2 linked regions of the Drosophila melanogaster genome follow. The protein of the gene in region 2 purifies or fractionates together with the protein of the main gene of each other region. This does not show direct contact. Each region holds a gene or a part of one and is shown on either strand. Other genes may lie near its edges.

Region 1 (2,968 bases), on a different chromosome or scaffold from region 2:
CTGCTGTCGTGAGATGTTGGTATGCCCTTATTTGTCCTTAGTCCTATCGTCCGTTAGTCCCATAGCCCGTTTGTTTGTGTAGATCAATCCTAGCACCCGCATTAAATAAGTGCCGAGCGAGTAGTGACGATGGTAATTACTCCCCTCCCTAAATCTATCAAAAATTGGTAGCCGAAACCAGCGGGTGCTTGATCGCCAAGCTGCATCTGCTCGGGGGAGTAATACAAGTAGTTCGGTACAGGAGATCCAAGCATTATAAAATTCTACAACACACAGGATGTTTGACCTGGTTTCCATATATCATTCAAACAATTCGGGAACTTTCTTTTTATATAAAAAAGAAAAAAAAAAAACATGCAATTTTATTTTTAATAATATTTAAATAGATTTATTTTTCCTGTTTATTTCTTAGCAGTTTTCCTTCGTTGTGATAAAACGCCGAGGGCGTATGTTATAAAATGTTATTATATGTTATATTTAACAAAAAGCATTAGTAATTGGCATTCATGTCAGAGTCGAATGCCATTACAAACTCAGAATATTGGTCAATCAATAACTGGCGGTCTCTACATTGAAATTTCTTTTAATATACTAGTTAAGTATTTCGCATCAGAAAGTGTTTGGTTATAAAGCTTAAAGTTGGAGTTCGTTCTTTATCATTGTTTCGTAATCTTTTTCTGACTATCAGCTTATTTATTTCCCTCGAAAGACATAAATATTTGCCGCTTCGTTTACCGTACCGAGAGCCAAGAAAGAAATGCTCGTTTCGAGGTACGATGAAAATGCGTCTGGATTTTAAACTTTCATCATATGTAGTACTTCGTCCATAGCGACTAGCAACAAAAAAAACTGGGCGTTTTTGAATTCCTAGAATGAAATAGAACAAAAACTTTAAATGTAATAATTTGTTTACACATTCATTCATTATTATTATATATACTTAAAAATTCAGACAATAATAACAAGGGGACGAAGATAGAAAAAAGAGATAATGTTCAAAGTAAACCAATACTGTTTAAATTAAATGACGATCATTTGTCACTCACTCAGAAATTTCTAGAACTCTAAGGCAATTAAAAAAATTGTATTATTGACTATAACCGAAACCCCAGCATGAGAATAGTGTGTAGTGTTGATAGACACAATTGCTCCACTTCCAGAATATGGAAATGAGTATACAGTCAATATCATCTGCGATCTAAGCAAATATTTGGTAACAGTACCTACACGTAATAAAAGATCGAAAATAATTTCTAAAGCCATTTTTGAAGAACTTATACCCAAGCATGGTAGAATATAAGGATTATTATGACATGGGTACAAATATTTGGTAACAGTACCTACACGTAATAAAAGATCGAAAATAATTTCTAAAGCCATTTTTGAAGAACTTATACCCAAGCATGGTAGAATATAAGGATTATTACAGACATGGGTACTAAAAATAAAAAAAAAAACAAAGTTATTTACGACCTGTGCATTATATAAAAAAACAAGAGAGAATGCCATACCCGTGTAATTGAGAACGCATAGTGAATAGATATTATAAAATAGATATAACAATATAATAAATAAGATATATATTATATATAATTTGTGCGGTTTTAGCAAAAAAATTTGTTTTTGGCAAATCGATAGAAATATACGAGACTAATTAAATAATGACAGTATCACTTCAACCTCCGAAGAGATAAGTCGTGCCACTCAGTTTAAAGCCTCGCTTCGCGTAAGCCCAAAACCCTTATCAGCAAAATCTTGATAAACAAATATCAACCACAAAGAGAAAATAAAAAACACAACAATAAAAACAACAAGACCTCCAACCCGGGATCAAGCCCTTAACCAACAATTATGACAGGCCCACCAAACATTTAGAAAATTACCCCAAAATAATAACAATTCCAATTAAGAGAACCTAAATTTACTATTATTAAAGGGAAAGACAACAACTCTTTCGAAAGAGCATCACCTAAAAACCAAAAAAAAAAAATTGGTGAAAATAAAACATTAAACTTCTCTAAGAAAGTTATTTATTGTAACGACCTTAAACACATCGACGAAGACACAATTCTACAAGAACTAAAACCACAAAAAGTAACTGAAGCTAAAAAAATAATGAAACGGCAAAACCCCAACTCTAACTCTGACACCAACAACAGCACTATAGTTGAAACTGTATTAATAATTATAACCTCTGAGTCGCATAAGCTCCCTGAGATAGTACAAATCGGTTACGAAACAGTCCGAGTACGAGACTATATCCCACTCCCACTTCGATGCAAAAATGCCTCCGCTTCGGTCATCCAACACCCATATGAAAATGTGAAAAAACTTGCATTAGTTTCTCAGAAACAAAACACACAAGCGACGGAGAGAAATGCACAAACAAAAAAAACTGCTTAAATTGCCGAAACAACCCAGAACTTGACCATCAACACAGCCCAATTGACCGCAAATGCCCTACGTTCATAAAAATCCAAGAACTAACAGCTATTAAAACCACACAAAAAGTTGACCATAAAACTGCCCAACGCATTTATTTTGAACGTCACGGTTTCCAACCGAAAGACACCTATGCCAAAACACTTACAAACGGCTCAGCCCAGAGGACAACAAACACTCAATCACCTAATATTCACATAAATGCAACCCAATCGCATCACCAAAATCCGCACTACACACCCACATCAGCAGCACAGAACACTTCATCTAAGACACTAGCAACTGGACCAGCCAAAAAAAACCTTACCATTCAACCAACCACTCCAACACCATCAACACCACAGCAACGACAAAATAGAAGACATTGATACTAACCCCACCCCCACCACATCTACCAGCAAATCATCTACGCCATACTCATCACACCTCACAGAAGACCTAAAAATAAAAATCTTCCCTTTTGTGGTTTGTGGATACCTTAAAGCATCGAAATGAAAGGCCAAAGCTCTAACCAACAACAAACACA
Region 2 (5,166 bases):
GGCTTACTAAGCAGCAAAGGATTTCCGATTACCAGAAGCAAAATGCGTGTCTCCTCGCTGTTCGTTGTGTGCGTGGCCTCCCTGGTGGCCACCACTTTGGGTCGTCCTGAGCCCCCATCCCCGTACTCCTACCACGGATTGCCTCAGCAGCAGAGCCAGCGGGCTTTGCCACTCAATGGTAAGTGGGCGGAGGATGAAATAGAAACATTATAGGAAATTAAAGCGAAAAAGATTAAAGCTATTTATGTGACACAGATTTTTGCTAAAGTCTTATGAGCATGACAACTATTAAAGATTAGATTAAACATTGATTATAGTAATATAATTCAGCAAATGTAGATATATTAACTCCATATATTTATCTTAATCTTATTAATCTTTCTTTTTGGACAGCTCACCCCGTTCCCCCGCAGATTTACCAGCCTCTGCCCCAGGAGCAGTCGTTTGCCAACTTTGCACCGCCCCAGCAGACCTACTTGCCACCCCAAATGCATCTGGATGCCATCGAGCAAGTGGCTCCCACTGCCGCCGCCGCTGAGCCCCTGAATGCCTACGATGACAGCTACAACATGGCCCACCGCCTGTCCGGAGTGCAGCATGCCAGTGGCTACAACAATGGCCCCCAGGAGACCAAGGTGCACAAGCACATCTACGTCCATGTGCCGCCAAAGGACTTCGAGGAGGAGGATGCCATCCAGACCCGAGTTCACCACCAGCAGGGACCCAAGCAGAAGCACTACAAGATCGTGTTCATCAAGGCACCATCTGCTCCGGCTATCCGTCAGCCAGTTGTGCCACCACCACCCCAGAATGAGGAGAAGACTCTGATCTATGTGCTGCACAAGAAGCCCGAGCAGGAGCAAGATATCGTGATCCCGACGCCACCACCCACCAAGCCATCGAAGCCAGAGGTTTACTTCATCAAGTACAAGACCAAGAAGGACGAGGCCCCCGTCTATGGACCCCCACCTGCAGAGATGGAGCCCCGTCAGGCCACCGCCGAGGATTTCGCTCCATTGGCTGAGGTCGCCGATGTCCTGCCACCCACCACCCTGGCTCCTGCTCCCGAGCCGGAAGTAGAGCAGCCAGCCATTCCCTCCGCGGTCTACGGACCACCCACTGCAGCTGCCTATACTGGTGAGGAGGTTCAGACCACCTTGTCCGCTCCTGCCAACCAGTATCTGCCCCCTGCCACCGCTCCCGCCGCCCTGGCCATTGAGGAGCCCTCAATGGCGCCCATCGTGGTGGAGGAACAGCCCGAGCAGCGACTGGCTCCTTCCCATGTGCCTGCCACCAGCTACGGTCCTCCCAACCGCTACTTCCTTAAGAAGCTGAAGTGAAGCCCGCTGCTTTGAGATGGTGATGCCTTAGCCAATTTCACAGTTTGTCATAGTCTAATGTCCATTGGATGCACCTCTTCCCAATCCCCTGTTCCCAATTCACACATGCACACGTGCCAAACCTCCCCACATGCACATCTCGTTGTTTGTTCGTTTGTATAACTTGTTACATTTGTTTTAATAAAGAGTAGATAATAAATATCAAATTTATAAAAAAAAAACTAAATGGCCTTTTAGTGTGGAATATTCCTCAAAAGTTTTATACACTTTCTTTAAGCTTAGTAAATGGTCCAGTTAATTCGGATAAAACACAGTGGAACAACAATGGATTTCGCATTTCAATGATTTAATGATGGCTCATGCCGCCTAATATGATAATTGACCCTGTGTGAAGTCGTGACCTTGGCAAATTTACAGCCTGCTTAATTGCGTTACGTTTTGTTGATTTCGGCTGTAGGCCCAATTTCGACGGCTTTCCTCATTGCTGTGCTCATAGAAAAATCGTAAAGTAATGGCCAAAATGGCAAAGCACTTAGAGGGAAGAGGCCGGAGCAACATGTTGCTGAGACTTCCCGCCAAAAGCAACAGTTGCTGCCTGCGCAGAGCTATGTTGCAACATGTGGATGGAAAAGCCGGGAAAAGGAGTACGAGGAACTGCCTTTCGGGTTCGTGCCCGAGTTTCGTGGCCGTTTGATCAGTCAGTCCGGATGAAAAATCCGGCTGCACACTCAGTTCGCTTTCTGTGCTCGCGCGAGTCGCATCGTAGGTGGGCGTGTTCCTTCACTTTATGTCGGTCGTCTCCGTCTGGTTAGCGTATTCAACGTATTCAAACTTATAAGCCCATTGAAAACACTCGGTCCATTCAATTTAGCGAGTGGTCATAAGCAGCGAAAACACTATCGGTAAACGGTAAACAATTAATGAATTGCGACTTTAATCACGCGTCCAACAGTGCGTATACGCAATACGAAAAGTGAGTGATTGCAAGTGAAATTGTGGGCCATTGTTTCAGGTCATTACATCTGGCATTGGCATTGACATTGGCAGTCTCGACGACGTGCAATCCCCTCGAGGGTAGCTCCAGTCCAATCTCAGTGCCTCGCTGCACCAGGTGAGTTGTAATGAGCTTTGTTTACCTGCTAATCAGCTTGTCCTCTCCGCCGGCAAATGGCTTGTTGTTTCCGCTTGTTAGCATTTGGCTGTGTTTCACACATCTGGTCGCTGGTTCGGTTCTGGTGGGGATTAGCTTCCGACACATGACTATATTTCACGGACGAGTTTTAGACCAACATTCCTGTTATAGTCAATATATTTTGGTAACACCTGGCTGATGTGCCTAATTAGATTTATCAGGACACGAGCCAGTCACTTTAACTCAAAAACTGATAAAAATGAAATTTCTCAACAAATTTGAATTGCATTATCCTTATGCCTTTCCGGCAGCATCATCAATCAGCAGTTTCTTGTGTTGCAGCTGCACAAGTTTACTTGGACATAAATAACATAACACATACGCAACGTTGTCCATGGTGTCGTTGAATGTGTTGCATGAAATGGACTTAAGCAGGTCTTATCTCCTAAGTTTTCCATCCATTTTGCTTTCGTTGACAACCATGCCTGGCCGGGCTAATTGTAAATTATGCAGGATGATCCGAAATTGGAGCAGTTTTTAGGTCTTTGTCCTTTCACCAACTTTGTCCTTGTGCGCTGCCATTGTTGCACGTGATACATATATTGTTATTAAATTCTCTCATTTTATTGGGGGCTTCTTCAAGGCATTGCAGCCTTAGTGAACTCGTGTTGTACTTAAACGGTTATACGGCTTTAGCCTTTTTTATCTTATTTACCGATTCGCTTATATTTAGCATTTGTTTTAGCTGTTGTCGTTCGGTTAACGCAATATGCCATGGTTTTTACTGTTTGTTTGCCGCCATGTTGCGATTCTGGTTTATTAATTCGGTTTAATTCGTTTATAGTGTTCTCAAATTAACGCCAGCAAAATTATTGTAACTGGATTAATCAGTGAGATTTTAGATAAAAGGGAGCGATTAAAAAATTAAAAGAACTACAATAATTTAAAAGTATTTATTTCCATAAATATTTGGTCAGTTAGGAAACAAGACATTTTGCTTTTGTCTTGAATTGATACCATCAATTGGTATTTGATTTTGTAAGTAAACAGCTTTTAGCAAATAACACACAGTGCAAACAGTTCATAAGTAAATAACTAAACAATTCGTTGTAAAACATTGTCGCATGACATATGCCGTTTGATTAGATAGTTAAGATATTAAGTGTGCAGTATATATTACTAATAGCAGAGAAAAATGTTTGGTTGCAAACAATTGAAAACATTTTCAGCAAAGTAAAATGAGGAAGCAATCTTCTCGAGTGGCTGCATCATATGTTTTCGGTGACGTTTTCATGTCTGTTTTATTTCCTAGGAATTGTTTTTTCATTAAAGCACTTAAAATATAGTAAGATAACAAAAGAAAAAAAATGACAATAACAAGGACAATTTGTTTACACTGAAAATATGCACAAACACAGCGGCGATACTTTTAAAAAGTTTACGGTGTGTAAAAACGTGAAAATTCTAGTTCAGAAGGGATAATAAGTGTGTGAGGTTATCTAAAACGGCTTTCTGAATAAACAATCAAGATGCACTTGGTCAACCCGGCTTTTAATATTGATAATTCTTTTGCCAGAAGTTTACCCTCGGCTGAGCAAAGGAATTTGTTTGACTGCCAAAAAGTTTCAAGTCATCGTTGCCTTTTCAATGCAAAGAGGAATGCAATGAAAGTTGGGATCTGTGATTTTTCCGGATAAGTTAACGTTCCAATAAAATGCAATTAATTTGAACTAGGAAAAAGACATTTTCTTTGCTTGCTGTCACTTTTTCCAAAGAGGCTATCAAAAGTGTGACCCATTGAAAATTTTATGAGAATTTAATCATACCAAACTTTGTTTTAATAAATACAATATTTTCGGAGAATGAACGATTTTTGGGCTTAAGGGCTCCATTTAACCTCTTTCAAAAAGCAACAAATGATGCAGGGCTCTTTTCTTATGTAAATTCAATAGTTTTCGTCATCGGGATGTGCGGAAATTTAGTTGGGAGTGTCCGCTTGAAAAAGGGGTTAAACTAACTGATAGAAATATGCAAATCACTTGGCTCAATGTGTGAATTCAACCGAGGGTAACACAGGTTATTCTTTGATGTAAGCATTATTGTAATTCGGTCTGTCTTGGGATAAACCCTTTTAAGTTGTCCCTTTTATTGCAGCCTTACATGGCTACAATGTTGTTTGCCGATGATTATTTAAGCTCTAAAAATAATACTATTGCTGAGTCACTTGCCAGTGGTTTTTCTCATATATTTTCTATTTGCCACTTATAAAAGAACATATGTAAGTTCTCTGAGATAAAGTCTTTACTCTTATCAATAGTTACAAAAGTGCTAATGGAGCTGCAATATAAAAGCGGGAATTGCATAGAACAGTTCTCATTGTAGGAATATAAGAAAATGGAGTTGCAACTAGGACGGATGTATTACGAAGGTGAGACCCCCGTCAAAGGAAAAATTATTTAAAAGGAGCTCACGAATATTTCCCAATTTAGTGTTTTGTATTTCGGCATGGATATGTCTGATGCGTCCATCTTTTGGATCCATTATTAAGGACTCTGTGAAATGTACGGAGGGTTCAGTAGCTGCTGACATTGATGACTGCGCCAGCTACTTTCAGTGTATCGACGATGAAACTGTGCACCTAAATTGTGCCAATGGAAGTTATTTTGAAGCTAGTAATGAAATCTGTGTGGTGGA

What was found.
Region 1: the proteins of RYa-R (region 2) and RYa fractionate together in Drosophila melanogaster (co-fractionation; one study listed by BioGRID). This does not show direct contact.

What each region holds. Positions count from the first base shown.
Region 1 is NT_033778.4:3,645,354-3,648,321, reverse strand, and holds RYa (RYamide), read right to left. Parts: upstream 977-2,968; 5' UTR 926-976; coding exon 596-925; 3' UTR 557-595; downstream 1-556. UniProt on the Drosophila melanogaster protein: Neuropeptides RYamide-1 and RYamide-2 are ligands for the G-protein coupled receptor RYa-R. May suppress feeding behavior.
Region 2 is NT_033777.3:26,994,892-27,000,057, forward strand, and holds the start of RYa-R (RYamide receptor), read left to right. Parts: upstream 1-2,088; 5' UTR 2,089-2,451; intron 2,452-4,860; exon of another isoform or gene 4,861-4,866; coding exon of another isoform or gene 4,867-4,900; intron 4,901-4,961; coding exon of another isoform or gene 4,962-5,166. Other genes in the region: TwdlC (TweedleC), read left to right, coding at 43-178, 394-1,340; CG31077 (uncharacterized protein), read left to right, coding at 4,867-4,900, 4,962-5,166. UniProt on the Drosophila melanogaster protein: Receptor for the neuropeptides RYamide-1 and RYamide-2. The activity of this receptor is mediated by G proteins which activate a phosphatidyl-inositol-calcium second messenger system. RYamide signaling may suppress feeding behavior.